Linked DNA regions of Callithrix jacchus. The protein of the gene in region 1 interacts with the protein of each later gene in a pairwise test. Links are inferred from orthologs where the notes say so. Each region holds a gene or a part of one and is shown in the gene's direction. Other genes may lie near its edges. The genes, in order: TRAF3IP1, SNAP91, GOLGA4, FRMD4A, PCNT, OLFM1 and FGFR1OP2.

The links.
Region 2: the proteins of TRAF3IP1 (region 1) and SNAP91 interact in a two-hybrid assay, tested with the Homo sapiens proteins (2 studies listed by BioGRID and IntAct). The link is inferred for Callithrix jacchus from reciprocal best matches to the Homo sapiens genes TRAF3IP1 and SNAP91.
Region 3: the proteins of TRAF3IP1 (region 1) and GOLGA4 interact in a two-hybrid assay, tested with the Homo sapiens proteins (2 studies listed by BioGRID and IntAct). The link is inferred for Callithrix jacchus from reciprocal best matches to the Homo sapiens genes TRAF3IP1 and GOLGA4.
Region 4: the proteins of TRAF3IP1 (region 1) and FRMD4A interact in a two-hybrid assay, tested with the Homo sapiens proteins (2 studies listed by BioGRID and IntAct). The link is inferred for Callithrix jacchus from reciprocal best matches to the Homo sapiens genes TRAF3IP1 and FRMD4A.
Region 5: the proteins of TRAF3IP1 (region 1) and PCNT interact in a two-hybrid assay, tested with the Homo sapiens proteins (2 studies listed by BioGRID and IntAct). The link is inferred for Callithrix jacchus from reciprocal best matches to the Homo sapiens genes TRAF3IP1 and PCNT.
Region 6: the proteins of TRAF3IP1 (region 1) and OLFM1 interact in a two-hybrid assay, tested with the Homo sapiens proteins (2 studies listed by BioGRID and IntAct). The link is inferred for Callithrix jacchus from reciprocal best matches to the Homo sapiens genes TRAF3IP1 and OLFM1.
Region 7: the proteins of TRAF3IP1 (region 1) and FGFR1OP2 interact in a two-hybrid assay, tested with the Homo sapiens proteins (2 studies listed by IntAct). The link is inferred for Callithrix jacchus from reciprocal best matches to the Homo sapiens genes TRAF3IP1 and FGFR1OP2.

What each region holds. Positions count from the first base shown.
Region 1 is NC_133507.1:159,646,508-159,650,007, forward strand, and holds part of TRAF3IP1 (TRAF3-interacting protein 1), read left to right. Parts: intron 1-438; coding exon 439-507; intron 508-924; coding exon 925-1,086; intron 1,087-3,500.
Region 2 is NC_133505.1:89,164,806-89,168,305, reverse strand, and holds part of SNAP91 (clathrin coat assembly protein AP180), read left to right. Parts: intron 1-2,745; coding exon 2,746-2,760; intron 2,761-2,902; coding exon 2,903-3,070; intron 3,071-3,500. UniProt on the Homo sapiens protein: Adaptins are components of the adapter complexes which link clathrin to receptors in coated vesicles. Clathrin-associated protein complexes are believed to interact with the cytoplasmic tails of membrane proteins, leading to their selection and concentration.
Region 3 is NC_133518.1:75,183,729-75,187,228, forward strand, and holds part of GOLGA4 (golgin subfamily A member 4), read left to right. Parts: coding exon 1-1,308; intron 1,309-1,895; coding exon 1,896-2,017; intron 2,018-2,756; coding exon 2,757-2,887; intron 2,888-3,500. UniProt on the Homo sapiens protein: Involved in vesicular trafficking at the Golgi apparatus level. May play a role in delivery of transport vesicles containing GPI-linked proteins from the trans-Golgi network through its interaction with MACF1. Involved in endosome-to-Golgi trafficking.
Region 4 is NC_133508.1:14,621,283-14,624,782, reverse strand, and holds part of FRMD4A (FERM domain-containing protein 4A), read left to right. Parts: intron 1-391; exon of another isoform or gene 392-409; coding exon 410-1,302; exon of another isoform or gene 1,303-2,486; intron 2,487-3,323; coding exon 3,324-3,420; exon of another isoform or gene 3,421-3,500. UniProt on the Homo sapiens protein: Scaffolding protein that regulates epithelial cell polarity by connecting ARF6 activation with the PAR3 complex. Plays a redundant role with FRMD4B in epithelial polarization. May regulate MAPT secretion by activating ARF6-signaling.
Region 5 is NC_133522.1:52,009,974-52,013,473, forward strand, and holds part of PCNT (pericentrin), read left to right. Parts: intron 1-1,170; coding exon 1,171-1,344; intron 1,345-1,900; coding exon 1,901-2,096; intron 2,097-3,222; coding exon 3,223-3,445; intron 3,446-3,500. UniProt on the Homo sapiens protein: Integral component of the filamentous matrix of the centrosome involved in the initial establishment of organized microtubule arrays in both mitosis and meiosis. Plays a role, together with DISC1, in the microtubule network formation.
Region 6 is NC_133502.1:183,617,287-183,621,302, forward strand, and holds the start of OLFM1 (noelin), read left to right. Parts: upstream 1-1,216; 5' UTR 1,217-1,525; coding exon 1,526-1,675; intron 1,676-3,767; coding exon 3,768-3,917; intron 3,918-4,016. UniProt on the Homo sapiens protein: Contributes to the regulation of axonal growth in the embryonic and adult central nervous system by inhibiting interactions between RTN4R and LINGO1. Inhibits RTN4R-mediated axon growth cone collapse.
Region 7 is NC_133510.1:44,293,204-44,296,703, reverse strand, and holds part of FGFR1OP2 (FGFR1 oncogene partner 2), read left to right. Parts: intron 1-399; exon of another isoform or gene 400-411; coding exon 412-548; intron 549-3,088; coding exon 3,089-3,206; intron 3,207-3,500. UniProt on the Homo sapiens protein: May be involved in wound healing pathway.

The sequences.
Region 1 (3,500 bases):
TCCTGCCATCCTACCTTTCTTTGGATTTCTTGCACAGGACTCTGGACCTTATGCGGACTTTCTTCCATCTGGTATGTGTGTCCAACTCTTCTGTAAGCCTTCTGATCCCCATCTAGGTGTGATTCCTCCAGGAAGGGCTCCTGCCACCCCTTCCCCTCCTGGATTGTGGACTAGGTACCAAACCTAAGTTCTTCCTTAGTATCTGGATGGTGTCATCTTTACCCGTCTGTCCATACAGCCACACTAAATTCTGTGAGGACCTGGCTGGCTTCTGCCCTGTACACACGCGTAGTAGATATCAAGTATTTCTTGAGTAAGTGGATGGGTCTGGGCTGCCAGTCAATTCTGACATCTCCCAGGTGTGGAGTTCAGTGGATGAGGCGGATGAGGAGGCTGTCCCTGAGGTGACAGTGGTGGCCTTTTTTTTCTCTCTTGAAGGTGATTAGAATGACTGGTTTCATGAAGGGCCTCTACACAGACACCGAGATGAAGTCTGATAACGTGAAGGTAGGTTGGAGTCGGGTGTCTCCTGTTGACCCCTTGCTTACTGGATGGGACTTTTTGTCATCCAGGTGGTGTGGTGTGTCATTTCTGTGCTGCATGTGGGTGGAATACAAGGTCGGTGAATTCATGAATTGATGTATATCCCCTTTCTCATTGTGGCAACTGCGTGTCATGCTAGTTTTATTCACTGAAAAGTGGAATTGGTATTTCAAAGCTTAATGCTAGCCCGTCAACTAAATTAAAGGCTTTACTGAATTGATTTTGTTTTGCCAGTGAAGATCAGTATTTCTAGATTTGTTATATATCTAAAAATAGCTTTGTATGTAAACAGAAACTATCCTGTGCCTGTTGAACCTGCTGAAGATAATGCAAACTCTTCAAAGTATTATAATATTTGTATTTTCAATGGAAATATTTCAGGATAAAGATGCAAAAATCAGCTTCCTGCAGAAAGCCATAGACGTGGTTGTAATGGTTTCAGGAGAGCCACTGTTGGCAAAGCCAGCCCGAATTGTGGCCGGGCATGAACCTGAGAGAACAAATGAGCTGCTCCAGATAATTGGAAAATGCTGTCTCAACAAGGTACTACTACTGCCGTCCTGGCATTTTGAACTTAGTGCTTGAGTAACAAGCAGTCGGGGGTGAGGGACTCAAATGTGCGGACGGTTTAAGGAAGGACTTTCAAAGGCGTCTGTCAAACGCTGTGCTTTGAATCTGATCCTACTCCTTCTGGAGCCCTAGAGATCCAGGAGGAGGAATTTAAAACTGAACAAAACAAGTAAGTGTTTGTTATATATAAGTTCTGCAAGCTTTCAATATAAAATTGGGAATGCTGCAGGCACTCTGTGCCCAGCTGGCAGCTGGAGGCTGCAGGCCCAGGCTTCCATGTCCTCTGGCTTTCTCTTTTTTGGGGCTCCCTTGAGGACAGGTAGCTGCTTCCAGCCAGGGCTGGAGTATCGCAGATGTGCTTTTTTTCTTGTGGAGGTCTCTGTTCTCTTCCTGCGATGTTTGCTTACCTGTCATTCTTCCTCTCTCTTCTCTACTCTTTCTCTCTCTCTCTCCCAGTTGCTGTTTCAATTGTACAGGGAGTAGATTTGTTCTTTCCTGAGCTTGTCACAGTGGGCTGGAAACTTGGGTGTCAGGCCTCAGGCTTCTCTGGTTAGGTCCAGCCTGGGCCATGTTTGCCCGAGCATTGGAGAAGGTCTTCCCCCACCGTCTTCCTTCTATTGAAGGCCAAGTAGTCGTCCTTGGAGGAGCAGGTTGGGCTTGTACTCAGAGTACAGTTAATACAGTTTTCCACATACCTAGTGGGTGGTTGGCTGGGGGCTAATCTTAAATGTGATGCACATGGGAACAGGTGGGTTTCAGCCCCCTCAACGGCAGTGGGTCATGGAGGTGTGTAGGGGTGTCCAGCCAACTTCTGGGAGGCCTCGCCCTAGTGCAGGTCCAGCATGTAAGCTTAGAGACTTGGAAGCAGATTTTGCCGGTACACTGGCCTCTGTCCCCAGGCTCCCCAGATCCCCTTCCCGGGTCCTTTATGTTGCTCTTCTTTCTGAAAAGCACATCTGACTCCTGTGTCCTCTGCTGAATCTTCTCCACTTCCAGTAGCCTCAGGGTCAGGCCAGCTCCATGGCATGGCTTGTGAGGCTCCTAGAGACCTGCTGCTACTTTTTCCCCTCAGGTCCTTCTCTCATTTCCCACACCGGAGCCCTCCACTCCAGTCACACACACCATGGCATTCAGCCCTGGCCCACTGTCTCCCATCAGTCTCGTGCCCTGGTGCTTACTGGCTTGTTAGTGCCTGAGCTGCCTTCCTCCTCCAGCCTCATTGAGCAGCAGTGTGGCATCTATGAGCGCTGCCTTGAGCCCAGGCCTCTCCTCCCTCCCAGGCTGACTTGGGTGCCCCTGTAGGCTTCCTACAGGCTGTTGTTTCATTGTTATGTCTGTCTGTGTCCCCAGTACATAGTGAGTCATTGGCCCATGGAGCCTGGCACGTGGCAGTCACTTAGCGTGTGCTTGTGGAATGAGTGTGTGAGTGAGTGGGACTCCTGACTGGAGGTGTCATAGACTCTGGATGGCTGTCAGGGATACGTTTTGCATTTGACGGGGCTTGAATTAGATCAGATTCCCCCCCCCAATAATTTTATTATTGTGTTAAAATCCATGTAACATAAAATGTAACACATGCACACGAATGTTCATTGCAGCACTGTTTACAATAGCAAAGACCTGGAACCAACCCAAATGCTCATCGATGATAGACTGAACTGGGAAAATGTGGCACATATACACCATGGAGTATTATGCAGCAATCAAAACCGATGAGTTCATGTCCTTTGTAGGGACATGGATGAATCTGGAGAACATCATTCTCAGCAAACTGACACAAGAACAGAAAATGAAATACCACATGTTCTCACTCATAGGCGGGTGATGAACAATGAGAACACATGGACACAGGGAGGGGAGCATCACACACTGGGGTCTGTTGGGGGGAATAGGAGAGGGACAGCGGTGGGGGGAGTTGGGGAGGGATAGCATGGGGAGAAATGCCAGATGTGGGTGAAGGGGAGGAAGGCAGCAAATCACACTGCCACGTGTGTACCTATGCAACTATCTTGCATGTTCCGCACATGTACCCCAAAACCTAAAATGCAACTAAAAAAAAAATGTATCATGCTAACCATGTTGAAGTGTACACTTCAGTGGTGGGAAATTCATTCATCAAGTTGTGCAGCCATCACCGCTTCCATCTCCAGGATGCTTCGTCTTGCAAAACAGACTCTGTCCCCATGAAACACTCACTTCCTCTTCTCCCAGCCCCCGACCCCTGGCAACCTCCATTCTGTTTTCTGTCTCTGTGAATCTGACTACTCTGGCGGACCTCAGTTAAGTGGAACATGGAGTATTTGTCTTTTTCTTTGACTGGCTTATTTTACTTAATATATTTGACTTAATTTCACTTTATGTGCAGTCTGAGTTCTCCCGGTTTACCC
Region 2 (3,500 bases), on another chromosome or scaffold:
TAAAAAAAATACACCAAAAAGGCTGTTGGATCCAAATTATATTTCTGAGAAATGGCGCCTGTTCACATGGCTAAACATCAGTTGTCCCAACAGGTAAGCTAATGGGCCAAAATTTGGAATAAAGAAATTTCCATAGTAGTTTGATTTTTAAAAGCATATTTTTATGCTTTTTTAAATTTTAAGTGACTATTCTCACTCATAGGCGGGTGATGAAAAATGAGAACACATGGACACAGGGAGGGGAGTACTAAACACTGGGGTCTATAGCGGGGAAAAGGGGAGGGCCAGTGTGGGGCGGGGGGAGCTGGGGAGGGATAGCCTGGGGAGAAATGCCAAATGTGGGTGAAGGGGCGAAGGAAGCAAAACACACTGCCATATGTGTACCTATGCAATTGTCTTGCATGTTCTGCACATGTACCCCAAAACCTAAAATGCAATAAAAAATTAAAAAAAATTTTTTATAAGATTCATTTAAAAATAAAAACTAAGTTCTAAAGTTACAGTGAAAGCTAATATTGTTGAATGCTCCTTCTGTGACAAGTACTATGCTGGTCATCACTACACTACAAGAAAGGTACTATCTCTAACTTGTTTAAAATGATAAAAATGTGAAAATCATGTAAACTTTCTTATTTCTTTTTTTTTTTTAACTTTAAGTTCCGGATGGATACATGTGTAGAATGTTCTGGTTTGTTACGTAGGTATACATGTGCCATGGTGGTTTGCTGCACCTATCAACCTGTCATCTAAGTTTTTGTTGTTGTTGTTATTGTTGTTTTTGAGAGAGAGTCTTGCTCTGTTGCCCAGGCTAGAATGCAGTGGCACAGTCTCGGCTCACTGCAACCTCTGCCTTCTGGGTTCAAGTGATTCTTCTGCCTCAGCCTCCTGATTAGCTGGGATTACAGACGTGTGCCACCATGCCAGCTAATTTTTCTATTTTTAGTAGAAACAGGGTTTCACCATGTTGGCCAGGCTGGTCTTGAACTCCTGACCTCGTGATCAACCCGCCTTGGCCTCTCAAAGTGCTGGGATTACAGGTGTGAGCCACCATGCCTGGCCCATCATCTACGTTTTAAGCCCCACAAGCATTAAGTATTTGTCCTAATGCTCTCCCTCTCTTACCCCAGGGAGTACATTTTTATAATTAATACAAAGGCACCATATAGGGCCTGATGGTCATCTTTTGATGATTAGACAGCACTTTTGCCTCAACAAAATATCTGTAACTGCAGCATTTCATAGCAATTGAAAAGTCACCTTTGCTGGAGCAGTGGGGAGAAATCTAATAAAGAAATTTCTAAGCAAAATAGTAAAAATTATAAGACTTCAAGAAATTGAAGTACACTTTTATAATATGTAATTGAGAAATAATGGTTACCTTCTATTTGCATTTGCCCAGTAGATACCCAGTCATGGTTGAAGATGATGCTAAATTGTAACAGATATGTGTTCATTCATTTGACTAAGCAAAAAATAAAATAAAATTGTTTTCTCAATCTTGTTAGATAAGATTAAGCCAATCTTGTTTGATAAGGTGAAGCATATTTGAATTCTGTATAGCTAGACAATAAAATATAAACTCTAAAATTCTATTAGACTATTTGGATGGTCTCATTTCCAAGGACCATGGCCACTCTGATTTCTGTAAATTTCTCTTGGGGGTTATAGGTTCTAACACACAATTTTTACTTCAGGGGACATACTGTAATGATAGCATTTTTTCCCCTGTTGGTGTAGAGCAACAAATTTTAGCAAATTCACTTTAGTAAATTTAATTTAAATTGTGCATGTAAGATTTGGCATTTCTACAGGTTGGTGATGAACCCCGTCAGCTGAAAGAATATAGAGAATTTTTAAAATCCTCATCTTTGGTTCCATAATAGAGTGTTTTATTTTCTTCATAATAAATTCATGTTGCAGAGCACAAATACGTGTTTTTGTTTTTGTTTTTTTTTTTGGTTTTTTTTTTTTTTTTGAGATGGAGTTTCGCTTTTGTTACCCAGGCTGGAGTGCAATGGCGCGATCTCGGCTCACGGCAACCTCCGCCTCCTGGGTTCAGGCAATTCTCCTGCCTCAGCCTCCCGAGTAGCTGAGATTACAGGCACGTGCCACCATGCCCAGCTAATTTTTGTATTTTTAGTAGAGACGGGGTTTCACCATGTTGACCAGGATGGTCTCGATCTCTTGACCTCGTGATCCACCCGCCTTGGCCTCCCAAAGTGCTGGGATTACAGGCTTGAGCCACCGCGCCCAGCCATAAGTGTGTGTTTTATGTCTGTATATTTTAGACATGGGAAAACTGTTTCTTTTTGTACATGCTTAAAGTGAAATTTCTACTTTTTTGAGATATATGGGATTACTACCAGAATTTGTTAGAATTAAAATTATTTACCAACACATATTGGAAAGCTAATCAATATTATGTGATCATATGATTCTGATATCTTCATGTATAAGGTTAACTATAGTACAAGTAGTTTTGTGACCTGTTTTCTTGTTAATAAAATCTAGTGTATATGTCTATAGGTGAAACTTGGTCTAAAGGATCTATAAGGTGACTTCTAGCTTGAAAGTTCCACAATAATAGGTAGTGCATTTATTTTTTAATTACAAATGGTGTAGAAGATACATAAAGCTAAGGTTTTTTTAGTTACTGCCTTATGTGGCTTGGACATTGGTATGGTTGCGTGTTTCAACTTTAGCTCTTATTTATTCATATGCTGCCAATGTAATGGACATCGGTAGACCTTTTAGGAGAGGGTGAGTAAAGCTTTGTTTTTAAACTTCCATTTTGAGTGACTTCTGTGTGTAACAACTGTCCTCATTTTGACCATTTGGAGTCTGGTATATCTTTCGTCTTTTCCTTCTCTTCCATTTTCTCTCTGTCTCTGGTAAAATATAGATTCTTTGGCTGCACTCTCCTCTGTTCCCTCTGAAGCACAGATTTCAGACCCATTTGCACCAGAACCTACCCCTCCTACTACAAGTGCTGAAATTGCAACTGCCTCAGCTTCTGCCTCTACTACTACAACTGTTACTGCTGTCACTGCTGAAGTGGATCTCTTTGGAGGTTAGTTAGTCTCGCCACTATTTTTGTTTCCTTTCAGGATTGCAAAAATTACTTGAGAGTTAAGGTGTTTAAAATTGTTAACATTATATAACAGCATGCCAGAGTGTTTAAGTACTTTTTCAATGTTCATTCATGTATATTTATCTTCACTAAATTTATCAACTTTCTCTTCACTTAATTTTAGTACTTTTATAGCCGAGGTTGCAGTGCATCAGGCCCATTTGATTTTCAGGTTTATTAACATTAGAATTCAAATTGCTACCAGAACTCCTGCCTTTATGTTCCTGCTCTCCAGTGTCTGTGTAAAAGTGGTACCAGAGCTCTCTGTCACCTTTAGGTTTATTTAGTTTTTGGCCAGCTTAAAATTAGCCCAGAGAATATTTGGGGAATGTGGGAGGAGCAATACTGGCCTAAGTTATTTCTTAATATT
Region 3 (3,500 bases), on another chromosome or scaffold:
TGAAGTTCTTAAAAATTACAGTCAACAAAAGGATATTGAAAACAAAGAATTGGTTCAGAAACTTGAACATTTTCAACAGTTAGGAGAAGAAAAGGACAGCAGGGTTAAAGAAGCTGAAGAAAAGGTCTTAACGCTTGAAAAGCAAGTTGATTCCATGAAAGCCGAAGTTGAAACTAAGAAGAAAGAATTAGAACATGCGAATTTAAGCTTGAAAAGCAAAGAAGAGGAGTTAAAGGCATTGGAAGATAGGCTTGAGTCAGAGAGTGCTGCAAAATTAGCAGAGTTGAAGAAAAAAGCTGAACACAAAATTGCTGCCATTAAAAAGCAGCTATTATCTCAAATGGAAGAGAAAGAAGAACAGTATAAAAAAGACACAGAAAGCCATTTGAGTGAGCTAAATGCAAAATTGCAGGAAAGAGAAAGGGAAGTTCACATCTTGGAAGAAAAACTGATATCAGTGAAAAGTTCACAGTCCGAAACATTAATTGTACCCAGATCATCAAAAAATGCGGCAGCATGTACTGAAGAAGAAGAAGCAGATTCCCAAGACTGTGTGCAGAAGATGTATGAAGAAGAAATCAGTGTTTTACAAAGAAATTTAACTGAAAAAGAAAAGCTGTTGCAGAGGCTGGAGCAAGAAAAAGAAGAGACACTTTCTTCTCATTCTGAAATGCAGTGCAAATACCAGGAGCTCTTAATGAAGCTCGAACATGATGAAGCAAAGCAACGTGAAGAACAAGTTATGACAGATCATCTTCAAGAAGAACTTAACGAAAAAAACAAGAAATATTCCTTGATAGTATCCCAACATGTGGAAGAAGGGAGAGGTAAAAATAACACAGAGGCAAAGCAAAACTTGGAAAATGTGGTTGACGATGTCCAGAAAACCCTCCAGGAGAAGGAACTAACCTGTCAGATCTTGGAGCAAAAGATAAAAGAGCTGGATTCCTGCTTAGTAAGACAGAAAGAAGTACATGGAGTTGAAATGGAAGAGTTGACCTCAAAATATGAAAAATTACAGGCTTTACAACAACAGATGGATGGAAAAAATAAACCCACAGAACTTTTGGAGGAAAACACTGAAGAAAAATCCAAATTACATTTGGTCCAATCCAAATTGCTTAGTAACATGGAAGGCCAGCACAATGACCTGGAGTTTAAATTAGCAGGGGCAGAACGGGAGAAACAGAAACTGGGCAAGGAGATTGTTAGATTGCAGAAGGACCTTCGAATGTTGAGAAAGGAGCATCAGCAAGAATTGGAAATACTAAAGAAAGAATATGAACAAGAAAGGGAAGAGAAAATCAAGTAAGTTTTATTTCAGCATGAATATTTTTATGGTGGTCCTTCTTAATTAAGTCTCCTTTTTTTGTGTGCCTAATAGAGTAATTTAAAATTATTTGGGCAAGTCTCGCCAACGCAAAATATTAAACATAAATCCAATACATTAAGTATGAGGAGAAATAAAAACAATTTAGGACAAATGACAGTGTTATTCCATGGCCATTTAGGGGAGAAAAACCTTTTCTTCCATATAAGATTCTGGTTATTAGGGTCATATTGAGGTAATTATTTTCTTTCTGTTTAATTGTTTTTAGTATTAGCATTATTATTATATAACATAGATGTGTTTTGAAAAAAATTTAAAGTGGAAAACAAATTCTCTGGTCCCCAGGACCACTCCTTACAGGTGATCATAGTTGATATGTCCTTACACACACACATTCTCTCTCTCTCTCTCTCTCTCTCTCTCTCTCTCTCTCTCTCTCTCTCCCTCTCTGAAAAATGTTTTCATACAGTGAACTCACACTGTATGCACTATTTTGAAGATCAGGTAGCTCTTTGCAGCTTCTTCTTTGTGTGGCAGCAGTTAACTGTACATTTTTGTTACTCAGACAGGAGCAGGAAGATCTTGAACTGAAGCACAATTCCACATTAAAACAGCTGATGAGGGAGTTTAATACTCAGCTGGCACAAAAGGAACAAGAGCTGGAAATGACCATAAAAGAAACTATCAGTAAGTAAAAGTTGTAAAAGTTTGATTTCCATAAGGAACAATTATATCAGCAGAGGCTATAATTTAAGCTTATTATTTTTGCACTTGTGGTAAGTGCATTAAGTCATTAAACTGGAGGAGAAGTAATTTTTTGCCCCAGAACATTCTCTAATGGGAACTTGCTCTGCCTGGCAATGACTTACCTTAAGGAGAGGAGGGGGAGTAAGTAAATGAATCTGAAAGAATTAGCTCATTAATTACTTTATAAAGACACTTTTGGGCTGGGCACGGTGGCTCCCGCCTGTAATCCTAGCACTTTGGGAGGCTGAGGCGGGTGGATCATGAGGTCAGAAGTTCGAGACCAGCCTGGCCAAGATGTTGAAACCCCATATCTACTAAAAATACAAAAATTAGCTGAGTGCAGTGGCACGCACCTGTAGTCCCAGCTACTCAGGAGGCTGCGGCAAGAGAATCACTTGAACCTGGGAGGCGGAGGTTGCACTGAGTGGAGATCATGCCATTGCACTCCAGCCTGGGTCCAGAGTGAGAGTCCGTCTCAAAAAAAAAGAAAAGACGCTTTTGCTCAGGGAGACATTTGATCAGTGTTGAGCTAGCTGTCTCATTGAACATCTTACAATGCTTATATAAAATTAAATTTCATCAAAATTAATCGGAATGAGAGTTGTTAACTAAAATTGAGATATAAATATTCACTCTTGACTAATGTGTTTTCTTGTGTGTGTCCATTTTTATTTAATAGATAAGGCCCAGGAGGTGGAGGCTGAACTTTTAGAGAGCCATCAAGAAGAGACAAATCAGTTACTTAAAAAAATTGCTGAGAAAGATGATGATCTTAAACGAACAGCCAAAAAATATGAAGAAATTCTTGATGTATGCACCTTATTTTCTCTCTCTCACTTTAGAAATTTAGCTGTAATAGATTTCATGGTACTGCCAAAAATTTCCTTTTCCAGTGTGGTTTTTTTTTTGGTTGAAAAGAGTTTTTTTGGGCTTAATATTATTCAAATTAATTATTTTATATTATATGCAGATTTATAGAGTCAAATTGATTTCTTTCAGGATTGAAATTTCCTGATCGGATTCTACTAACCAGGCAGCACAGTCCCCTTGATAGTATTGAAGCAACAGCAGTTACTAAAAGGGAGAATAGATTCTTTCCCGTCTGCCTTACAGCTTCTGATGGAAGTGTGAGAGAACCGGACTAAGAATCAAGGCCTGTGCTTAGGTGAAGAAGTCTAAGTAGTGGGATAGTGAGTTTGTGTTTAAATGTGGCTGCTTAACTTAGCTGGGATCTTTCTGGGAGGGCCAGTTAACTTTATTCCATCTCCACCCAATATGTGGAGGTTGTATTGGTCTGAGGAGAAAAAAAATGGGAAAAAATGGAATGCAGAAGCCAAATCTTTTATATTTAGTGGAAAGTTATTTGAAAGTACTTACTCTATTAATGTTATGTTGCCATTAGAATATGCCACTAATGCATTGC
Region 4 (3,500 bases), on another chromosome or scaffold:
CAGGCCTGAGCCACCGTGCCCAGGTGGCTGGTTTAACATGATACTGGAGTCATGATTCTGTGGTTCTCCTTGTGTCTACAGAATCATTTCCACTTAAAAAAAAAAAAAAAAAAAAAAAAAAAAAAAAGCCTCAGAAATGGAAATCCTTCTGTGAGTGTCCTAGCTTCGGTCCCACTGGGAATCAAGGTGGAGACCCTAACTTCGCCTCCCACAAAGGACAATTCCATTCATGTGGAAACAGCAGGCAGTTACCGGATCCCCGGGACAGCCCTGCTGAGGGAGACTTTGGCTTGCTGGGCTGGGGTCTGAGCCCGCGTGGAGGCCCCCATTGCCCTACCTGGGACCCCTTCCTCCCCGGGCCCACCCCCCCACCTCCCACCCCCAGACCAACCTGGGCGTCTCCTGGCAGGTCGGTGGACATCAGCCCCACGCGACTGCACAGCCTCGCACTGCACTTTAGGCACCGAAGCTCCAGCCTGGAGTCCCAGGGCAAGCTCCTGGGCTCGGAGAACGACACCGGGAGCCCCGACTTCTATACCCCGCGGACTCGTAGCAGCAACGGCTCGGACCCCATGGACGACTGCTCGTCGTGCACCAGCCACTCGAGCTCGGAGCACTACTACCCAGCGCAGATGAACGCCAACTACTCCACGCTGGCCGAGGACTCGCCGTCCAAGGCGCGCCAGCGGCAGCGGCAGCGACAGCGGGCAGCGGGCGCGCTGGGCTCAGCCAGCTCGGGCAGCATGCCCAACCTGGCTGCACGCGGGGGCGTGGGGGGCGCAGGGGGCACAGGCGGCGGCGTGTACCTGCACAGCCAGAGCCAGCCCAGCTCGCAGTACCGCATCAAGGAGTACCCGCTGTACATCGAGGGTGGCGCCACGCCCGTGGTGGTGCGCAGCCTGGAGAGTGACCAGGAGGGCCACTACAGTGTCAAGGCCCAGTTCAAGACCTCCAACTCCTACACGGCGGGTGGCCTGTTCAAGGAGAGCTGGCGCGGTGGCGGCAGCGGCGGTGACGAGGGCGACACGGGCCGCCTGACGCCATCGCGATCTCAGATCCTGCGGACTCCATCACTGGGCCGCGAGGGCTCCCACGACAAGGGCGCGGGTCGCGCCGCGGTGTCGGACGAGCTGCGCCAGTGGTACCAGCGTTCCACCGCTTCACACAAGGAGCACAGCCGCCTGTCGCACACCAGCTCCACCTCCTCGGACAGCGGCTCGCAGTACAGCACCTCCTCCCAGAGCACCTTTGTGGCGCACAGCAGGGTCACCAGGATGCCTCAGATGTGCAAGGCCACGTCAGGTGAGGGGGAGGCCGGGCGCGTTCGGGAAGGCCTGGGTGCGAACTGCTGGTGTTCAGGGCTACTGCCGGGAGGTACCCTTACATCTGGGTGCAGTGAGGAACCAGAGTCAGTCATTCACTCCGGGAACGCTGCTGTCAGCTGCGGGAGACTTGAGGCATGTGCTGACTCCCCTTCCTAATTGCACCCTGACCCTCCAGAGGGCACTAAGCCAGCTTAGTCAAGGTCTAAACCATCTCTTCCATCCAAGAAAGTTAAGTAATGTCTCCGGCTTTATCCAACCAAAGGTGCGCCTTTACCCTAGTAAGGAGAGGATGCCAGGAAGTGAGAGCCCACAGCTGTGGCTTGCAAAGGAAGCTGGTTGGGGATGCGCTTGGGTCAATCCTAGAGATTGGGCCAGTGTCTCCCCACGTAGGGGCAGACTGGCTGATAAACAGAGGGCCAGAGCCGTGCATGTCACAGAACTCCTGACTGCTCCTGGCTTCCCATTTCAGTGACAATGTTACAGCGTAGCCACAAACTAATTTTAGTTAAGCGTCTTCAATATCCTGGATATTATGCCTGAAAATTTCCATAATCTAAGGTTAAGGTTGACCTTATATTCTTGTGAGCAACAGCATTGTGCAGTATTGAATCAAGTAAAAAAAAGAAAGAAACCAACCAACCATTCCCTAATGAGGCTACATTTAATAACAATAACAGTGATGACCAACCCTGAGCAGTTGCCTTGCGCTCTGGTCTCAGCACTGGCATATTTACATACTCTAGCACTCACAGAAAGGGAGAATGAAGAGAACAGAAATGGTTAACACTAAGGATAAAATGAGAGTCAGAAGCCAATGGGAGGAGCTCTGAGTCAGGAATTTGACAAAGATCAGGGGAAAGAGAGTGACCTGAAAGGTAATGTGGGGTTCATCCTGGGGGAACTGTAGGACATTCTCAGTACCTGGAGACAGCAGGGAAAGAGGCAGAAGCTGACTGCCCAAGTGAGCCAGGCTCCTGCCTTCTGTCCCCATATCCCTGTTGTTGGCCAAATGACAAGCTCCAGAGATCAGGCAGTCGTGGGGAGTTCCATGGACTTCAAGGTCCTGGAACCTTCTTTATATTCCTCCTTCATCTGTAAAACAGCACAGTGAAATTCGCCATTGCCTCCCCAGGAACATCTTGAGCACACTCATCTGTGACCCTATTAGATAAAGAACCAGCAATTTGTAAATACCTCCGCCAAACTGGAGTGTTGATGTTCTATCAAAATTGCAGCGCTTGTCTAGTAGATTTGCTTTATGTAAAGAGATTAGGGAGATCTTTTGGAACATACTTTAGAGTAAAACTTTTAAGAAGCTGTATCTGAAGTTTACTGATGGAAAAGATTCCATTCCCAAGAAAGCAAAGGATGCATTTAAGTAGGACTGACTTCCTACTAAATCTGCCTGCATCAGTAAATGCCTACCAGTCAGGTTTGGATTAGCTACTAAAAGTCCTGCTTTTTTCAAAACGCACTACAGTAGCAATGATAAGCCTGAAACAGCAGAGAGAGCAGGCTTTAAGAATCTTTCTGGGTGCACTGTCTTCACAATGGAGAGAAACAGGGCCACACTGAAAATGCCCTGAGGCCAGAGAAACAGGCTCTTCCTATATGAGCCCTGCTCAGGTGTCCTCTCAAAGGACATGAGGACATCAGGTTCTTTGCTGCTGCAGAAGCTGTCACCATCCCTATGGCCACTCTCTGATGGCAAACTGGGGACCTAGGATCCCAGGTCAGCTTGGCTCAGAAGGAAGGTGCATGGTAGTGACGAGAAAATGCAGAGGTTGCAGGGGAGGGGGGTGGTGGAGCATGCAGAGATGGTTCCCCACTGTGACCTTGCCGTAGGGAGGCTGAGACCCTGACATGGGGTCCTTTCCAGCATTCCTGGACAGGGTGACCTCTGGCCGCTGGGTTGGTGTTGGCCAGCAAGTCACAAGCCCCTTTGCCTGTGTCTGATCCCTGTCTTCTCTTTGCCTTTGTTGCACCATCTGCATCCAGCTGCCTTACCTCAAAGCCAGAGAAGTTCAACACCCTCAAGTGAAATTGGAGCCACCCCCCCAAGTAGCCCCCACCACATCCTAACCTGGCAGACTGGGTGAGTTCTCCTTCCAGGCCTTTGGCCTGGTTCTTATTCCATGTTCTTCATTGTGTCCGCTCCAAAGTGTCATAGACGTT
Region 5 (3,500 bases), on another chromosome or scaffold:
GCTCTCTCTTGGCCATGTGGCCTGAGGACTCAGCCCATCCCACCACTTGGCCCCAAGGCCCCTCCTCCTGTCCCTCTGGTGACGCCCCCTGGCCTTGTTCCTTCCAATGGGCCTCTCCTACCTCCCCTTCCACACCCCAGGCCTCGGCAACTGGACCTCAGGGCCTCATCTCTGTGCTGCCTGCCCCTCCCCTGTCCCACTTCTCCCCAATCCCTGCCCATCTTTCTGCTTTTCTCCCTCCAGCCCCAGGGCCTGCAGAGTTTGTGGGGTGGGTGCTGAGCCCTGTCATGCTTCCTCCCATCTTCCATGCCCGCCCCATCTTGCCCCTGCGTCTGCCTCTGACCAGGATTAGAGCTTCGTGAGGCAGGGACGGACTTGTCCCCTGTGCCTGGGACTCGCACGACATGCTGGTACCCTGGAGAGCTGGTGGGTCAGCCCCATCTGCCGCTGCCTGCCCCTCCAGCAGGCCCTTGTCATGTGCAAGCAGCAGCCTGGCTGGCACTCAGGAGGCTCATTGGTGCTGCTTGCCGCCCCGGGGACCACTGGGCAGCCCCTTGTCATGTGCAAGCAGCAGCCTGGCTGGCACTCAGGAGGCTCATTGGTGCTGCATGCCGCCCCGGGGACCACTGGGCAGCCCCTTGTAGCCTTAGACCCCTCTAGGCTCTGGGCCTCGAAGGTGCAGCAGCAGGAAAAGAAAGAAGGAGCTTTGCTGATGTTTTCCTGACCTTACTGTATCGTTTTTTCGCCTCTTCTCTTCTCATGATGGCAGCGTTTGCTTCTGGTGCCCCACATGGCCCTGGGCAGTGTGTAATCTTCTCTTCTGTCAGGGTCATTTCTGTTTGAATGGGTGTCCATCTGCTCAGCTGCCATAACAGAACACCCCAGTGCAGGGGTGTAAATGGCAGACCTTGATTTCATCTGTTCTGGAATCAGGTGCCACAGGGCTGGGTGCTGGTTTGCAGACAGCGCTGCCCTGCTATGGCCTCACATGGTGGAGAGTGAGCGAGCTCTGGCATCTCTTCTTCTTACGAGGCCTCGTTTACTCTGAATCATCTCCCACAGGCCCCATCTGCAAATGCAGTCACACTGGGAACTTTGGGGGGCGAGCATGCAGTCCTCATGACACCTGCAGGTGCACTTGTGAGGACTGTTTGCTCCTTCACACTTTAGGACCTGCCCAGCACGTGCCCTGACTGGAGTGGGGAGTTTCTGCAGGTTGTGCAGGAGGCATTTGAAAAAGAGCAGCAGATGCAGGGGGTTGAGCTGCAGCCCCAACTCGGGGGCTCGGATCCGGGGTGTCGCAGCTCCCTGCTTGAAAGGCTGGAGAAGGTCATCTGTGAGCAGGTGAGGGACAGCTGTGCCACCAGGCCTCAGTTTACCCCAGGAGTCCAGCCCTGGCAGAGTGGGTTATACGGACTGTTTTATATCTGAATTTTGTTTGTGTGTTTCTCTCCACCGCTGGAATGTGGCTGTGCCCCAGGTGGTCACGCTCAGTCCACGTGGGCTGCTATGATTTTCCGTCTGCAGCTCTGATGAGGACAGCTGTGCATGTGATCCACCCTCACTACCTTACTCTGTTTCGAGATTAGCAGCTCGAGACATTCCATGTTCCAAGTAGCCCCTCCTGGGTGGTGAGGTTCTCTGTGTGCAGAGCTGGGTGGCGTTGGTGCTGTGGGGACACTAGAAATCCTGTTGCCGCCATTGTACACGTGAGGAGACCCAGTGTTGAGAGTAACCAGCTTGCAGGCTTCATGTAGGGTAGCATGGCCCAGCCCTGATGCCCACAGGCCTGAGCTGAGGCCCAGGGGCTATTGTGCACCCTCTCTAGACTCAGCAGGCTTGGAAGGCTGGGGCATGCGGCAGCCACCTGGGGCTCAGGCTTTTCCCCCTCTGCCCCCAGGGAGACCTGCAGGAAAAGTCACTGGAGCATCTTCGCCTGCTGGACCGGAGCAGCCTGTTGTCTGAGATCCAGGCTCTGCGTGCCCAGCTGCGCATGACACACCTGCAGAACCAGGAGAAGCTGCAGCACTTGCGCATGGCACTGACCAGCGCGGAGGCGTGTGGGAGCCAGCAGGAGCACCAGCTGCGCAGGCAGGGTGGGTGCCACTGTTCACGTTGCCTGTGGGGCCCTGCCCCTGCCCACCTGATGCTCACCTGTGTGGCCTTGGGGCAGAGGTGGTGACAGGCTATCATCTTGTTGGGCCCCCAAGTGTCGCTACAGTTGGCAGCTGATAGAAGGGAGCAGAAAGGGCCCTGGAGACAGGCAGAGCTGGGAGGGGCCAGGGCATGGAGGCCTCATGGCCAGGCCTGGTGTGGGCAGGAGGGGTCTGTGTTGGGCTCTGAGTGCTGGCAGAGTTTGGGGAGCTTGCACTAGAGTTAGGAATGTCTTGTAGGTTTCTACATTGAGTTCAGGTCCTTTGGGAGTTTTTATGTAAACACTCCCATCATCGTGGGTAAGTAATGATTGATTTTTCATTTCCCGCCATTTCTCTTGAGTGCTGTGCCACCAGCTGCATGGGCAGATGCCCTTCTCTGCTCTCAGTTTTGGGGGCAGGACCTGGTCTTGTGCCCGTGCATGTGGGGTCAGGCACCTTTGTTCAGCTCAGGCAAGTGCCCTCTGTTCCTAGTTTTGGATTCTGTCAAGGGGAAAAGCCTTGCAGTTGAGGCCACGGCCTTTGTCCAGCGCCCTTGTCCTTCCCTTCATGGTCTCTGGGCTGGGGGCGGGCGCTGGTCTCAGTTTCCTTTCTGTGGAGAGGGGCGCTGATCTCTGGATTCCTTTCTCTTGTGCCTTTTTCTGCTTGATGCTAGGTAGCGCCAACCCCATGGGGGTTTGGGAAGTATCCCCTCCATTGTCTAGAATTGGGGTTCTTTTAAGTTTTGGAAGAATTTTCCAGTAAAGCCACCTGGGCCTGGAGTTGCCTCTATTGGAGGCAGTTTAGGGTGTGAATGGGGCTGGGGTGGCATTTCAGGACGGCCACAGGGACACATCACTCCTGTGCTCCGTGGGCTCCCCACCAGGAGCGTGGGCCCAGAAGGAAGTGGCCCAGATGGCAGAAATGAGCGTCCTGCTCCACCCACAACAAAAGCTTCTAGTCCACAGAACCTCCTTTCTTCCCAAAGTGGATTCAGCCCGTGCCCCGACAAGTCTGTCTCTAACCTGTGTCACGCGTGCAGCATGGGGTGCTCACGGGGCCTGTATTTCTGTTCTTTCGTCTTTCTCAGTTGAACTGCTGACCTATAAAGTAGAGCAGGAGAAGTCCATTGCAGGCGACTTACAGAAGACACTGAGAGAAGAGGAAGAGAAAGCAAGCGGTCTGCAGAAGCTCCTGGCGGCTGAGCAGAATGCAGTGTGGGACTTGAAGTCTCAGCTCTGCGAGTGCAGGCAGGAGAGCGAGCGGCTGTCCAGCGCCTTACACGAGGTGCAGCAGGAGGTCCTCCAGCTGAGGTGCGTGGCATCCACCTTCCCCGGACACTGGCAGGAGTCTCGCCGTTGTGGCCAC
Region 6 (4,016 bases), on another chromosome or scaffold:
AAAAGGCCTATTAACCTGCGGACCCTGTCAGGCCTGCGCTTCCGGGGGAGTGGGGACCTATACGCGCGCGAGTCCCGCCGCGGTCACCGACGCCGCGGTCACCGAGAGGGCCGGGGAGACGGGCAGCTGCGCCAGCCGAGCCTGGGGGCCAGGACTCGAGCCCCACCCCCGAGAGGGGCGCGGGGAGCCAGTGAGGACACCCCCCACCCACCCACAACCCCCACCACGGCCCCCAATGTCTGCCTCACACACCCTGCCCCACCCACCCACGCCCCCAATCACTGACCTCAGACTCCGCCCCACCACGGACTCCAGACCCCGCCCCACTCACCCACCGCCCCTCACCACGGACCCTAGTCCCCGCCCCACACACCCACGCCCCCATCACGGACCCCAGTCCCCGCCCCACACACACCCCCCACCACGGACCCCAGTCCCCGCCCCACACACCCACGCCCCCATCACAGACGGCAGTCCCCGCCCCCCACGCCCACCGCCCCACACCACGCCCCTGGGCGTGGCCTTCTTAGCTGCGGAGGCCCAGGCCCTGCGCGGGTCCTGCCCCACGTGCGCCCTCCTGGGCGCATCTCTGAGCTCCGCGGGCCACCCCCAGCAGCGCTGGTGCCGGGAGTGCGGGTCCGGCCCTTCCTTCCCCCGAGGCCTCAGGGCCCCGCGGCCGCCCAGGGCTCGCAGGGCGCTTTTCCCTCTGCAGCGATGTCCGACTCCGCTGGCACTGGAGACTCTCGGGAGTCCAGCTGCTTTTGGAGCCGGCCCGGTTTCAGGCGACGGCCCAGTCTGGCTGGGCCCCTCGAACCACCGCGGAAAGGGGCCGCGGTAGGCAGGACGGGGCCGTCTCCCCGCGGGCAACCTTTGCCCCAGAGCGCGCCCTCTTCGGGGATCAGAGAGGGGCCGCGGCGTGGGGTGGGGGGAGCCCGGCGCGGGAGGGCGCGGTCCGTGCCCCCAGCTGGGGTCCCCGCGCCGCCGCCGCGGGGTATTTTCTGAGCCGGGGGCGGGGGCGCGTTCGTCTCCTCAAGTCACCCCGATCCCAACTCCTGGGCGGATCGGAGTCTGCAGATCTCGCTGCCGGCGCCAGGGGGCGGCGGGGAGCCGCGCGTGCAGGAAAAACCCACCCATTTCCTGGGCGGATTGCGTCGGCCCCGCCCTATCGAGCCCCGCCTCCCGGCCGCGGCCCCCGCGCGCAGCCCGCGCAGCGCTCAGAGCCGAGCGGCGCTTCCCGGTGGCGGCGGCGAATCGCGGAGGGACTCGGCGGGGCGGGCAGGCGGCGCGGGGCTTGGGGCGCGGCGGGCAGCGGCCGCCTGGCCACCCTCCCTGGCGCCCGGGGAAGGAGCGGCGATGGCCAGGGCGCGCGGTGCGGCGGCGGCGGCGGGCGGGCGGCGGCGGGCCGAGGGGGCGCGGGGACACAGCCGGGCGCCCCTGCCCGCCGCGGTGCCCGCCGCCTGAAGGCCGCCCGGGCGCGGGAGCCGGTGCCAGCTCGGAGCGGGCGCTGGAGGCGGCTCCAGGCGCGATGTCGGTGCCGCTGCTCAAGATCGGGGTCGTGCTGAGCACCATGGCCATGATCACCAACTGGATGTCCCAGACGCTGCCCTCACTGGTGGGCCTCAACACCACCAAGCTCTCGGCGGCCGGCGGCGGGACGCTGGACCGCAGCACCGGCGTAAGTGCGCCCGCCGGCCGCCTTGGCTCGGCCCCCCCTCCTCCCTCCTCCTCCTCCTCCTCCTCCTCCTCCTCCTCCTCCTCCTCCTCCTCCTCCTCCCCTCCCCTCCCCTCCCCCGCTTCGGTCCTGAGCCCGGGGCTGGGCCGGCGCCGCGCGGGACCTGAGTCGCCCTGGAAGGCGGCGGGGATCAGGGTGGGCAATGACCGGGGTCGCGCGCCGGCGCAGCGGTGAAGACCCTGCTCCCCACGCCCCCAGCCTGGGCCACTCCGTCTCCGCCCGCGCGCCCCTAGGGCGGCGTTTCCTTCGCCTGAGCCCCTCGCAGCGGGGTCCGGGGAGCCTGCTGGGCCGCGGAGGCTTGGAGTCCTGGGTCACGAATTGTGAGCCCCTCATTGAAAGGTTAAGAAACTAAGGCTGGGGACTTGGGGGCCTGTCCAAGGTCACACTCAGCAAGTGAGGGGTGGAGCCGCCGCTAGACCTCAGTCTGGGCTCTGTCCAGCTGGGACTCTGAGCCCGCCCTAGTTTGTAAAAGCCAGACTGGCCCTACCTGATTGGGAGTGGGGCCCCGCCGGTGGGCCCCCGGAGCTGCTGCCCGCGCCTGCGTTCCCAAACTCCCAAGACGCCCTTTCCTCCCCAGCCCCATGAAGGATTCGTCCCTTCCCCTCGGAGAACGGTGCCGAGGGTCTGGGGCGGGGCCCCTGGGGGCCTGCCCTTGGGTGCTGCTCACCCCGTCGCCTTTGCCTCCGTCTTCCGCGCGCACCCCTCCCTCCTGGCCTCTGAAATTGAAATCGGGTCTCCCTCCCGAGCTTAGTGGGAGGGGGAACCGTGGCCAGGGCTGTTCTGAGTTAGATGACTGAGCGAGGTTGAGCCGAAACCACCCACCCGGAAGGCCGAGCGTGGAAGGGGCTGCCGCTGCGAACACGCACCCCAGACCACTGCCCCTTTAGGCTGAAAGGAGAGGTGAAGGACGTGAGTCTCCCTCCCTCTCCCTTTTTGCTGCCAGAGGTTAGGTGCTCTGCAAAGAGGGCTCTGTGGTGTGGCTCCCTCCTAAGACCCCTCTTGAAAACACCCCCTGCTCCTTCAGGAATGGAAGGGCGACTCCTCCATGATGACTTTGTTCCAGCCGCCGGCCCGATCTTGTGCAGTCGGGAATGAATGAGATTAAAGATATGACTACTATAGATTCTCCCCGCCCAACTTCTCTTCCCATCTTCATGCTAAAAATAGCAGAGAGGTGACCTGAAGCCACCGGCGGGGAGTGTGCTTGGAAACAGTGGGGCCAGCAGCAGGGTGGAGCGGGTTTGCTCCGGAGTGCCCGCCCCAGCACCTGGCAGGGCTGGATTGCAAGGTTACACCAGACATGGGCAGCCCTGGTTTCTTGGTGGTCTTTGGGCAAACCTCAGGACTGGGGTTGGGGTGACCCCTGCACAACATGTCACCAGCAATTTGGTGACATCCACCAAATGGCTCGTGGGTGGAACCCACATGGAATGGGAAACCTAGTGTTTTCTTGGGTCAGTCTTTGCCAAGCTGCTGGCAGGGAGGTTGTGGTGGTTCGTGGTTCATCACTGCTCTGGGCAAATAGGCTGCTGGAGCTGGGGCTGTTACAGTGAACACTTCATCTGTGAGTGTTAGGGAATGTCAGGGCAAGGCTTGGTGGTGCCAGCTACCCATGCATGACTTACGGGAAGGATATCCTGTTTCTGAAATACGTGCCCTCCGCAAGCCACCAGGCATTTGCTTTCCTGCCTTGCTCCTCGTCCAGCCGGTGGCCTCTAGTTGCCCCTCCCACCCACCCAGCAGATCAATTTGGCCAGATGACAAACTCTAGACATCCCTTGAATTGAACCTGAATTTTAAGAACGTAAAGGGTCCTGCCTCTTTGACTTCCTTTTAGCCTTGGGCCCCCTAATGGGAGACCTGTGCCTTTTTGTTCCCAGGGGCCCTTTCTCCCCTTTGGGTCAAACATGTCTTGGGGCCATTTCCTTCTGCCTTTTCCCTGGGACTGGATGTGGACAGTTTCCCCTGGTTGTTGGCTCTGATGCACAACCTCATGGTCTCCCTTTCTCTTCCTCCCCACCCCTGCCCTCTCCAGGTGCTGCCCACCAACCCTGAGGAGAGCTGGCAGGTGTACAGCTCTGCCCAGGACAGCGAGGGCAGGTGTATCTGCACAGTGGTTGCCCCACAGCAGACCATGTGTTCACGGGATGCCCGCACAAAACAGCTGAGGCAGCTATTGGAGAAGGTGAGTCTGCATGGAGTGTGTGTGTGTGTGTGTGTGTGTGTGTGTGTGTACATCCATGCCTGTGTGCTCACACCAGCACCAAGGCTTGACTAGCTTGCA
Region 7 (3,500 bases), on another chromosome or scaffold:
CGGTGAACCAAATGATCTTTCTCAAAAGTGACAAGATAGGGAATGCCCTCATAAAGGGCATGATTTCTGTGTAACATTACATTCGTTGGACTTTTGGACTAACTATATTCATGTACTTTTTTCCCACTGTAAATTCAGAGTGTTTTAAATACATTCTAGTTATACCTGCAAATCTTTTAAATGTGTTTTAGTTTTTTTGTAATATTATAAATTTACTTTCAAGTTTGTGCCATTCTAACAGAAGCAAAATCACAGGTGTTCTTAGATGTTTTTTCCTCCCTAGGCAGTAAACCATATTGTAACAAATGTGGCTTACAGAGCATATCTGTGTAGACATGAAACTAAAATAAGGTGATATGTTGATTTTATTTTGAGTCTTGATTTTAATTTTAATTATAGATATTTCTTTAGAAATGAGTTGCACAATTGAGAAGGCACTTGCTGATGCTAAAGCTCTTGTTGAAAGATTAAGAGATCACGACGATGCAGCGGAATCTCTGATTGAGCAAACCACAGCTCTCAACAAGCGAGTAGAAGCCATGAAACAGGTTTGATTTTTCTTGTTCCTTCTGTTTAACAAAAGCAGTCATTGACAGTTATGTATTGCTGGCTAATTAATATATCTTTTTTTTTTTCAATGTTCTCTTAAATTTTAAAGTAACTTGACTTGTGTGTTTCAGGTTTACTTTAATTTTGTCATGTTCAGGTGACATATGTAGACATACATTTCTAGATCAAAACTAGACCTAGATTTGATTGCTTATTTTGCTGACAAGAGTTGCACATTTGAGTCTGAAATAAATGAATTTGTTAGGTCTAGAAACATTTGACAAAGACCAGTTAATACCTTTTACTAATGTTGGTACACATTTTGTTCTGTCTTATATAATGTGGAAATGTTCATATTTTTCTTTATAAAAGTACTTAGGTGATGCTGTTTAACAACAAAATAGCTTTTGAAAATGATGCAAGGTAATATCTGATATATAGTCTGTGCAATTATTGTACCCATTCTTGCTCCCTTATTTTTTATTCAATGCTGCCAATTAAAGAATAAATAAAAAGGGCTTTCTTCTTGCTATTTTTACTATTGTATAACAGAATAGGGCCACGGAGTTTAAACCCTATTTTAAACCTTCTGATAAAAATTTTCAAGTCATTTAAGAAAATTGTAAAATCTCTGACATTATGGTGGAAATCAGAGGGGGAAAATGTATATCCATAGCCAACTCTCCTCATCTATTTTGTACATGGAAGCAATTCTAGGACAGTATTTTTAACAAAGCTACTGGAAATAGTGGAGCAAGTTCACTTATTTGGTTTTACAACTTTGTTGCCCTAAATAGATTTACCTGCATCCCTAACCAACTGCCCAGCTAGACTCAGGCACTTCAGTGAACATATATCTGGTATTGAGTTGTTAAAAAAGGAGTTTGACATCTGAAGTTAAGAACCAGGAGTGTTGGCTGGGCTCGGTGGCTCAAGCCTGTAATCCCAGCACTTTGGGAGGCCGGGGCAGGTGGATCACGAGGTCAAGAGATCAAGACCATCTTGGTCAACATGGTGAAACCCCATCTCTACTAAAAATACAAAAAATTAGCTGGGCATGGTGGCGCGTGCCTGTAATCCCAACTACTCTGGAGGCCGAGGCAGGAGAATTGCCTGAACCCAGGAGGCGGAGGTTGTGGTGAGCCCAGACCGTGCCATTGCACTCCAGCCTTGGTAACAAGAGCGAAACTCCGTCTCAAAAAAAAAAGGAAAAAAAGAACCAGGAGTGTTATAATGAATGTATTACTGTCTGATGAAAATGCCTTGAAAACAAATGAGTGTGATTTTAAAATAAGATTCTCATTTTCTTAATGAAAAATCCATTTGCATTTCTTTTGTACATGTTCTATAATTATTATTGAGATATTCACATACCATAAAATTTACCTTTATGAAGGATACAGTTCATTGGATTTTAGTACACATTTGCAGGTTATGCAGTATAACCACTATGTGATTCGAGAACATTTCATCATCATAAAACCTTACATCCATCAGTGGTCTCTCTAGTTTCCCCTTTCCTTCTCAGTCTTTGGCAATGACTAATATTTCTATCTCTATAAATTTGCCTATTCTGGACATTTCATATGAATTGAATGATAAAATACATGACGTTTTGTGATTGGCTTCTTAACGTAATGTTTTTAAGGTTCATCTCTGTTGTAGCATGTGTCACTACTTCATTCCTGTTTATTGCCAAATATTGCATCATAAGGAATACAGCACATTGTTTTTATCCATTCATCAGCTGATAGGCATTCAGATTATTTTGCTTTCTGGCTAGTAAGAATATGCTGCTGTCAATATTTGTGTACAAGTTTCTGTGCATACATATGTTTTCAGTTTTCTTGGGTATATACCTAGAAGTGGAATGAATGGGTCCTATAATAACTTGGTTAAAGTTTTTGAGGATCTGCCACATTGTTTCCCAAAGCAGCTGCACCAAGCTTGTCCATCCTGTGACTTGCTGGCTGCATATGGCACAGGATGGCTTTGAACGCAGCCCTACACAAATTTGCAGACTTTGTTAAAACATTACACAACTTTTTTTTTTTTTAAAGCTCATCAGCTGTAGTTAGTGTTAGTGTATTTTATGCAATGGCCTGACAGTTCTTCTTCAACGTGCCCAGGGAAGCCAGAAGATTGGACACCCAAGACCTACATCCCTTTACATTCCATCAACAATGTATGGAAGGTTCCACTTTCTTCGCATCCTCTCCAACAATTGTTATTGTCTTTATTATAATCATCCTAGTGGGTTATATTGAATTGCAGACCTGTAATGACTAGTTATGTTAATTAAGCATCTTTTCATGTGCTTATTGGCTATTTGTGTCTTCTTTAGATAAATATTTATTCAAATCCTTTGCCACTTTTAACAATGGAAGTTATTTCCAGTTTATTGTTGAGTTGTAAGAGTTCTTTATATATTCTGGATACTAAGCTCTTATCAGATATTTATGTGTATATTTCAGATATATTTCTATATCAGATATATATTTGCAGATATTTTCATCCCACATGTTTTGTTCCCCATTAGTATCAGGAAGAAATTCAAGAACTTAATGAAGTTGCAAGACATCGGCCACGCTCCACATTAGTTATGGGAATCCAGCAAGAAAACAGACAAATCAGAGAATTGCAACAAGAAAACAAAGGCAAGATATGTTACTTTTTGACATTAATCCCATTTCTAGTCTCCATTCCTAAACCATATTTATTGCTCTATATTATTACCTACATACAAACATCTGCCTTGCTTACATCCTCTTAGATTCTCACCTTCAATATCCAGTTAGCACCACTGTTGTTAGCTATGAAGTAAGTCAGCTTCGTTCTCTGCAGTCCCACTGCATTGGCCCCCAGATTAGATGCTCAGTCTCTTACCCGAAATGTCCAAACTGATCTCCCTGATTCCAGTCTCTCTTCCCCCTTCCAGTCTGTCTTCGACA